Linked DNA regions of Nothobranchius furzeri. The protein of the gene in region 1 purifies or fractionates together with the protein of each later gene. This does not show direct contact. Links are inferred from orthologs where the notes say so. Each region holds a gene or a part of one and is shown on either strand. Other genes may lie near its edges. The genes, in order: srp9 and srp54.

The links.
Region 2: the proteins of srp9 (region 1) and srp54 purify together in Homo sapiens (co-immunoprecipitation; 4 studies listed by BioGRID and IntAct, counting the BioPlex papers as one, with this or other methods). This does not show direct contact. The link is inferred for Nothobranchius furzeri from reciprocal best matches to the Homo sapiens genes SRP9 and SRP54.

The regions. Positions count from the first base shown.
Region 1 is NC_091742.1:28,143,335-28,147,800, forward strand, and holds srp9 (signal recognition particle 9 kDa protein), read left to right. Parts: upstream 1-1,368; 5' UTR 1,369-1,498; coding exon 1,499-1,570; intron 1,571-1,677; coding exon 1,678-1,746; intron 1,747-3,990; coding exon 3,991-4,110; 3' UTR 4,111-4,406; downstream 4,407-4,466. UniProt on the Homo sapiens protein: Component of the signal recognition particle (SRP) complex, a ribonucleoprotein complex that mediates the cotranslational targeting of secretory and membrane proteins to the endoplasmic reticulum (ER).
Region 2 is NC_091758.1:16,489,341-16,493,851, reverse strand, and holds the start of srp54 (signal recognition particle subunit SRP54), read left to right. Parts: upstream 1-1,564; 5' UTR 1,565-1,663; intron 1,664-3,023; exon of another isoform or gene 3,024-3,065; intron 3,066-4,511. UniProt on the Homo sapiens protein: Component of the signal recognition particle (SRP) complex, a ribonucleoprotein complex that mediates the cotranslational targeting of secretory and membrane proteins to the endoplasmic reticulum (ER).

The DNA.
Region 1 (4,466 bases):
GAAGTATGGAGCGTCCAACAAGTCCGATGTAGCTCGTGAGGTGACAGCAGTGGCGGGGGTTTTCTGACGTGTCCCCCGAGGAGGTTTGGGGTGCAACGTGTTTGCGGGATGTTGGGGGTTCTTGGTCTGCTGAGGATTGTGGGACGCCCTTGGTGGTGGGTGTAGATGGTGGGGCTGGGAGTGTGAGTATGGGGTGAACCTCCATGTGGGGTTGTGTGTTTTCACTGGGGTGTGAACGGGTGGTGGGTTTTTGTTGGTGGTGGTTGTGTGGGAACACGGGGTGGGATGGTACTCGTGCCTGTTGTGTGCAGTGGGTTGTGCTGGCTCAGTGTGTTGGCTGGTGTGGCAGCAATACGCTTTATAGGTGTCTAGCCTGCCTAATTTCAAAGAAGAAGAAGAGACACACGGGTGTTTAAAAGGGCAACATGGAGGTCCCTGAGGATCAGGGTTGGGAAACACTGGTTTAGACTGTACAGTTACCCACTGTATATACGTATTTGTCTTGCTTTTATCAACTATTTTCAGCTTGAATAAATTGAAGAGTTCCTTTGTGAGCAGCGGAAACACTTCCTTTATTTGGTTCAACATAAAATCACCCATGCTGCTTTAATGTAAGTGGATACAAACCAACATTTCATCAAAGTCTGAAATCTCTAAGCTCCTCTGTATACCACTAGCTAGAAAACTGGCTGCTCCTTTTGAAACCTAAAAACATTTAAAAAGAAAACAAAAATGTGTCACCACAGAATATCCCACTGATTGTTCCTACATCAGGTATAGACAACAGAGTAGCTTATGAGAACAACTCTGAGGCCTGGCTGAAGTGGCTGAGTCTTAATTTCCACTAATGATGGTGATGCATCCTTTTCAGCAGTTTTAGTAACTTTGTGGTTGGATGGTCCTCACTTGGAGAAGCCCTCTGTAACGTGTAGAGAAGTGCGTCGTCGGCAATTAAACGCAAGTTGGCACTCCTGTAATAAATAAATAAATAATAATAATAATAATAATAATAATAATAATAATAACAATAATAATAGAGACCATTTGGTCAGTGAAGAAAAGTTCGTACAGCTGTTTTAAACCTTTGACAGTTTCAAAAAAAGAAAAAGAAACTTTTCCGGCATACGACACGTTCATTCAAAATAAAAGTCGTCTGACTCTAACGAGAATGTTCAGAAACGTTAAACTGAGATTAATGTTGTAAGGACTTGTGCATCAGACGGAGACAGACAACTATTAATTTAATCGTGATGCAAGATAAAAGTGTCAGTAAAGTGGCGATGATCGATTAATTTAAAATGACTTGACTTGAAGTGGCTTATTTTTGGTGTACTTTTACTTTGAAAAAAGGTTGATCGACGGGTTTCCGTATCCTCTTATCTGAAATCTGATAGGCTGCTGCGGCTTTGCTGCTGATGTGGGTTTTTTAAGTTAGCTTGTCGCTTCTCCGTTGCTTTAACCCCACATTCTGATCTAACTCTGTACGTTTGGGGAAATAATGCCTTACTATCAGGTCTGGGAGGAGTTCGCTCGCGCGGCAGAAAAACTCTACCTGGCAGATCCGATGAAGGTGAGTTCGTGTGTTTTAGCACACGGAGCTAGCTTGTTAGCCACATGATGGTGTTGGTTCTGAGCGTCATGCCAGAATTCCTGAACGCGTTTTTGTTGTTTTTGCAGGTCAGAGTGGTCCTGAAGTATCGACACTGCGACGGTAACCTGTGCATCAAAGTCACCGACAACGCTGTGGTGAGACAAACGAAGGAAACAGAACGATGTTCTGCTGTTTGTGTCAGGTTTACCCCAGCGTCCACCTTGTGTTGATTTAAAGTTCAGCAGACGAAGTAAAGCGACTCCACTCCTAGAGATGCAGCGCTTCAATAAGGGTGACAGGAGGAAAACGTCGGTTAAGTGTTGTAACCCCATATTCTAGTTTAGCCCTTTAAAGCGACGCCTATTGGATAATCCCTTCCTTATCCAATCACTGAAGAGCTTTCATGTACGCCAGCCCGCCTATGGTGGGTCCCATCCTGATCCTATAAAAGGTCAGTGACCACAAAACGTAAAGCCTGACTCATGCTTAAGCAAATGCACATTTGCGCCCCCTGCTGCTGCGTCGTATCCATCGACATATATATACTGGACAATTCATTTCCATAGGCTCCAATAACATGTTTTTGAGGCTAAATGGGAGGTGGCCACCACCGCCATCTTGACCGTGTCACTTGTTCAGTCAAGCCCCGACAATTCCACAAAAGGGAAGAGAGGAGGAGCTGAGGGTGGGGCTGTAAGGCTGGGATCAACTGACGACACCCGGTCGAACTAGCTACAAGCTAACCTGAAGCTAACCCAAAGCTAACGCGGAGGTGGGAGCTAAGCTAACGGAGGTAGCAACCTAGCTACAACCGGAGTTAACTGTGCACAACACCAGAGCTTCTGAGTCAGAGATACGCCGGGCTGACCGCTGGGGAGAACCGGGTGGAACACAGAGGTCTCCGAGAGCTCCACAAGCCGATAGTGGGAACCCAGCTCCACCAACATGTTATATTTCAACCCATTTTCTAAAGTGCAGCATTATGTTAAATGCACTGGGTTTTACCCTATTACATTTAAATTTCATGGTTAAACAGTACATGTTAAAATCTAAGCTCAGCTCGGCAGTGACCTAAAATACATAAATATAATTTTACTTACCGAAAAAAATGAAGTGGAGACTCCTTGGACGCTCTATTAGTGCAATTAATGCCACAGCAAGTCATTTTGTCCAACAATTGCACAAATAATATCCAAACAAGAATACACAAACACAGAGACTCAAAATCCCGGAGCAGTTTCCAGGCCAGACCGAGGCTCTACTGAGGCCTTTCCCCGGAGCTAGCTCTGTGGTCACGTGGGTCTGATGCTCATTAATTATACAGAATTTTAGGCTTTTAATACACTTAAACAGAAGAGTGAGAAAAACATTCACCCCCCTCAGAGTTGTCATGAGTGTAAACTAGATCATTTAAACCAAAAACATGTTCTGGTACCAGGCTGTAAACATGTTTATTTCTGCTGTGAAATTGGTATTTTTAACATGGGAGTCAATGAGGATTTGCTCGCTTCTGACACCAGCCCCTAGTGGATGAGGGTGGAACTGTAATTTTTGGTACCTCCGGGTTTGACTCCATTTTTGAGCCACATGGTGGGGGCTTGGTCGTATCTCCTCTAATCATACTGGCCCGACCCTGTTGCAAAGAAATTCTCCGCCAAAACAACAGATTTTGTCTTTGGCTTTCTTTATGTTTTTGAGGGGCCAATGGCGGCGCTGTTGACGACAGCGACATGCTGACTAATCGCAAGCTTGCGTTCTCTGTCTCGTTGGATGGATGTTTAGGGAAGTGGGCTCGACTCCGTCTGTCCTTGTGAGCCTGCTGGTAAACCCCTGCGTGGACGGACAGTGGCGTTGCGTGTGTCTGCGGCGAGAGATGCACACGATGTTTTGCTTTCAGACTCCTCCATCAGCTGAGGATTGTTGCAAAGCAATTCCCCTCCAGGACAGCAGAGGGCGTACCACTATTCTGAGGTATCCTGCCACCATTAGTCACATTTCCGGTCCATGATGGTGTACTTACTGTTGTGTTTACATTGTTATATTTCAGAGATTTTGTCCCTCAGTCCTCTCCACCTGTTCATACAGTCGGGGCCTCTAAACTCGCGGTTCTTGTCTTCTCCGTCTACAAATAAAACACCCGTTGCATATTTTTGTACTCCTTCAGTCGCGGGCGAATAAACGCGCATATTTTTTTCCGCGATGCGTTTTTCAATCTTATCCGTGTCTGCCACTAAATATCTTTAATTTTTGAAGCCACAATGACTGTGCTGTTGATGAAGTGACAGCGTCCTCCTGACCAATCACAAGCTTGCGTTCTTTGTCTCTTTCAACAGACACTCTAGGCTCTAGGGCATGTTGATGATCTTTCACCATCGGTGACGGTTTGTTTCTGTTTTCAGTGTTTGCAGTACAAAACAGACCAGGCTCAGGACGTGAAGAAGATCGAGAAGCTGCATGGGAAACTGATGAGACTTATGGTGTCCAAGGAGACGCACAGCGGTGCCATGGAGACTGACTGAGAGGCTCTGGAGCTCCTGGACTGAGCTCAGTGGGCACGGTGCATTTCAGAAGCACCAGGATGAGGTGGGATGGTGGTGGTACCGAGGAGGACACGTGGGGACATATGTCCGTCTACACCGATGGAAGACGTGTCTTCATTACTGTTTGTTTTCTTCCCTATTTTAAAAAAATTGCAACGCTAACTGATTTTCTGTTCTGAAGGGTGTTGAGGAGCCCCCCCACACACACACATCCACACTCAGCCACTGAGAATGAGGAGAATATGTGGAATAAAAGTTTATTTTCTCTGGTACAACAGACCCGATTCTTGTGTTCACCGGGGCGAGTTAAGCTTGCTTTACGCTTGATGCGTCCG
Region 2 (4,511 bases), on another chromosome or scaffold:
CGGTTTCTAAAAGTACATAAAATGAGCTTTCCAACGAGGTACATGATGTAATTCATGTTACTCCAAAAATCGCTATCAGAAGGAAACCAGCTTTGCAGCGTCACAGAAAGAAACGGAGCGAACCGCGACGGGAGAGCAGAGAACCAAAGGGAGGAGACAGTCTGATCATCTTCATCAGCAGCTTTTATAAAGTTATGCAAATAAAATCCACCTGGTTGGTCAGGTGTCCCAGAAGGCTGTTTCTGTAGATGGTGACATGAGGAGGGACAGATTACTGTCACACTGGTTTTTATTTGAACACTCAACTGTTTACTAAATGATTCAGCTTCATTCCAGCATTATTTATACGTACAATAAATATTTATTTAGCTGAAAATATAATGTTATCAGTGCAGAATTTTATTAGTTGACTTTTTGTAATGAAATGTTTAGATTTAACCTTTTATCTGCTTATTGATCTTCATAATGCTGGTAGAAATGTAGCTACAGCTGTGAAGTAGCCCATGAGTGTTATTTTATGATACCTAGTATTTATGTTACTGTATCCCGTTCTCTGGACCAGAGTATAGACCTGTGGTCACAGACAGTCATTAAACTGGTAATTGTGAGGTCAGGGGTCACACTTTTTTCTGAGTGTTTGCAACACAGTTCTGAGTTTAAATACCGGTAGTTCTTTTGACATAGTTTGCTCAAGTCATTTTGAAGTTCCTGTTTAGTAATAAATGTAAAGAAAATTCAATTCTGTTTTTTTTTTCATTTAAGCTGCAGTTTTACAGACTTTAATAAACATAAACACTAAATACAAACAGACACTGAAAGCTGAGGTTGTTCTGAAAAAAGGAGCAGAGTTACAAACATTTTACACTTTTTGTTACAATTTTAAAGCCATAAAACAAAATAAACTGTTATATTTATGGTCATAAGAGGGTTAAACATGATAAATTTTCCACCTCCCACAAAGAGATGGTAAAAGTGAATGTGAGCATAAATATATACATTTCATTACTTTATTATGTATTTTTTATTATTGACAATTACTCCAAAGGGTTCAAATAAAGGCAACTGGACTTCTTTGGTTTCTTTAAAACGTTTCACTTCTCCTCTGAGGAGCTTTGTCAGTTCTAACTGGAATATGGGAGAGCCAAGCTTATAAACTGTAGCTGTCCGTTGTTATTTAAAGAGCAGAAACTACTCTGAGTACCCCGCCTCTCCATCTCCTGATGAGTCGTTAGCCTCTATTGATGGTGAGTCATCGTGTTGATTAGATGCAGGAAGGTGTGACCTAGACTGAAATTGAATGAGATCCAAAGCTGCGTACTGGAAAGGTGAAACCTAAGCCCCGCCCCTATTTAAAGTGGGGTTTTCCATGTTTTACATCGATAGCTTCTTTTACTCCTCTCTCAAATCATCTATCTTCTCTGTCCAGAATGTGGACTTTGTCATCTTCAAAGGTGTGTCCCTTGTCCTTCAGGTGAAAGTGGACTGCAGAGCTTTGACCTGAAGAGGTGGCATTTTTTCATTTATCACTCAAATTGTATCCTTCCGTGTGTTCAATAAAGTTTTTAAGTCATGACGTGCTCTGATCACGTGGCACTGTGTTTCCGGTTGAGTAGATTTTTAGATGACGCTTTTCTGGTGGAGTCTGGTTAATCTTTGACACTCGGTAAGACTCCCAAACTTCATATTTATCTGTCTGATTCTCCGTTGCGGTATTTTACAATCCTTATTCATCTAGCCGCTTGAATATTTAAATGTGTTGCTTCAACCATTTCTGTCTAAATTCACGAGTAACGGCTGAATGTCTGCTAGTGCTTGCAGCTAACTGCTAATGTTAGCGCAGCTGTAAACATCTGAAGTGTTTGAAGCAGCTGTCTGAAAAAACGAACCGACAGCATGCTTTTCGATGCGTCTGACGTTGTGTTGTTCTGGGTAAAGATGTGTATTGTTTACCAATGTTTGTTTGCAGTTTTCATTGCAATAATAACTAGTTTCATTAAGCAACCAGACTGTTTTTTTGCACAATGCTTTATACAAACTGGTGTAGCACGGTGATTAAACACGTAACAGGTGGGAAGAATTCAGTTGGAAGCAGCAAAAAGAAAATCTACCAGCTCTGAAACCAGCAGTGATAATAGTCTTATGAATAATAGTAATAATTATTATAATAAATCAATTGAGGAACTTTATAAACAAAAAAGTATTCACATTAGAGTTTAGTTCTCAGTAAACTCAGGTAATCTGAAAACAACGGAGGCAATCATAATTAAAATCTGATAGTATTCAAAGGGTACTAAAAGATAATTTAAAACTTAAAATAAAATAGTCTAAAATAGTAAAGTAAAATACTGGAGACAAATAAAAAATCACCTGGATATCAAAGGTATTGACTTACTCTCTAGTAATTTCTTTCGTATTATCGTTGCTGCAGGCCCTTCTGTGTGATGTAAGCTGTTTAAGCAAAACAGGAGAGGCGAGGCGGGGGACAATATTGAGTTCGAGTGGGCCATGTGCCAGGCTTCCATTGTCGGAGTGGTGGTCGCAGGGTCGTAGGTGCCTGTCATGGTAGCAATCCCAGAACCTTCTGGCGATTAGGGATGCCATCAAGCTGAAGAAAATCTTTTTGGCCTGTGGGACTCCAGACACAGCTGAACCGGCAGTCCAAGCGGAATGTGGCCTGTGTGTCACTGGTCACCAAGGCAAAAACCCGGGCGTGGGGGGAGTTCGGTGAGACCATGGAGCAAGACTTCCATGCGGCTTTGAGGAGATTCTGGTCTATCATCCGGCGCCTAAGGAGGGGAAATTAGTGCGCTACCAACACTGTTTATAGTGGGGATGGTGTGCTGATGATATCGACTCGGGATGTTGTGAATCGGTGGGTGGTGGAGTACTTCGAAGACCTCCTCAATCCCATCGGCACGTCTTCCAGTGAGGAAGCAGGGTCTGGGGACTTTGGGTTGGACTTTCCAATCTCTGATGATGGTCACTGAGGTGGTCAAAAAACTTCTCAGTGGCAAGGCTCCGGGGTGGATGAGATTTGCCCAGAGTTGCTTTCCGCATTGCCGGCAGTAAGTTGTGCTTGTTTCTGGTGAGAGTTGGACTCCGCCAAGGCTGCTCTTTGTCACCTATTCTGGATTTCTAGGCACAGCCAAGGTGTTGTTCAGGCGATCCGTTTTGGTGGTCTAAGAATTGATTCTGGTTTTTGCAGATGATATGTAGCCTAGTGAACTAGACCAAATTCTTGCTTTGCAAAGAATGGTCTAGGCATGCTCCATTGGAACCTCAGCAGCTCCTACCAGGACTCTGGCTAGCCAATCACAGCTCTCTAGAGGGGTTTCAAACACATAAAGAGCTGTGATGGGCCAATCATAGTGCTCTATCTGCTTAGTGAACAAATCACAGAGCTTTATCCGCTTTGTGGGCCAATCAGGGCACTCTATATGCCTGGTGGGTGGGATGATGCAACAGAGTGAAACAAGAGTATGTCACATTCTTTGTCCAGTGGAATGCGGAGATCATTTGAAAGACAACGGTAGAACCCGCCCCACAACCGAGAGCCGTCAATGGAGCATGGCCAGACTAAATAATACATTTATTTAGTCTGGCTTGCCAGGCTAGATGATATGGTCCTGTTGGCTTCATCAGAGCGTGATCTTGGGCTTTTGCTGGAGCGGTTCGCAACAGAGTGTGAAGCAGCTGGAAAGAGAATCAGTTCCTCTAAATCCGAGACCATGGTTTTGAGTCGGAAAAGGGTAGAATGCCTTCTCCAGGTCAGGGATGAGGTCCTGCCCCAAGTGGAGGAGTTTAGGTATTTCAGGGTCTTGTTCACGAGTGAGGGAAAGCTGGAACGTGAGATCGATAGGCGGATTGGTGCGGAGTCTGCAGTGATGTGGGCGTTTTACCGCTCTGTCGTGGTGGAGATAGCTGAGCCAGAAGGCAAAGCTCTCGATTAACCGGTCGATCTATGTTCCTACCCTCACCTATGGTCACAAGCTTTGAGTAGTAACCAAAAGAATAAAATCAAGGATTCAAGCGGCCAAAATGAGTTTTCTCCGCAGGGTGGCTGGGCTCTCCCTTAGAGATAGGGTGAGAAGCTTGGTCATCCTGGAGGGGCTCAAAGTAGAGTCGCTGCTCCTCCACATCGAGAGGAGCCAGTTGAGTTGGCTCAGGCATCTGGTCAGGACGCCTCCTGCATGCCTTCCTGATGAGGTATTCCAGGCACGTCCAACCGGGAGAACGCTGGAGGGACTATGTCTCTCGGTTGGCCAGGGAACGCCGTAGGATTCCCCCAGAGGAGCTGGTCCAAGTGGCTGGGGAAAGGGAAGTCTGGGCCTCCCTGCTTAGGCTGCTGCCCCAGCCACCCGACCCCGGATAAGAGTCCGAAAATGGATGGATGGAGGAGAGTTACCAGAACTAACTGAGACAGAACCACTGCAGGAAGATCTGACCTGAGAAATATGTTGCCTGTGTTAGAAGGGCTGTTGTAAACAAATCAAAGGTTTGGGAAGACCTGC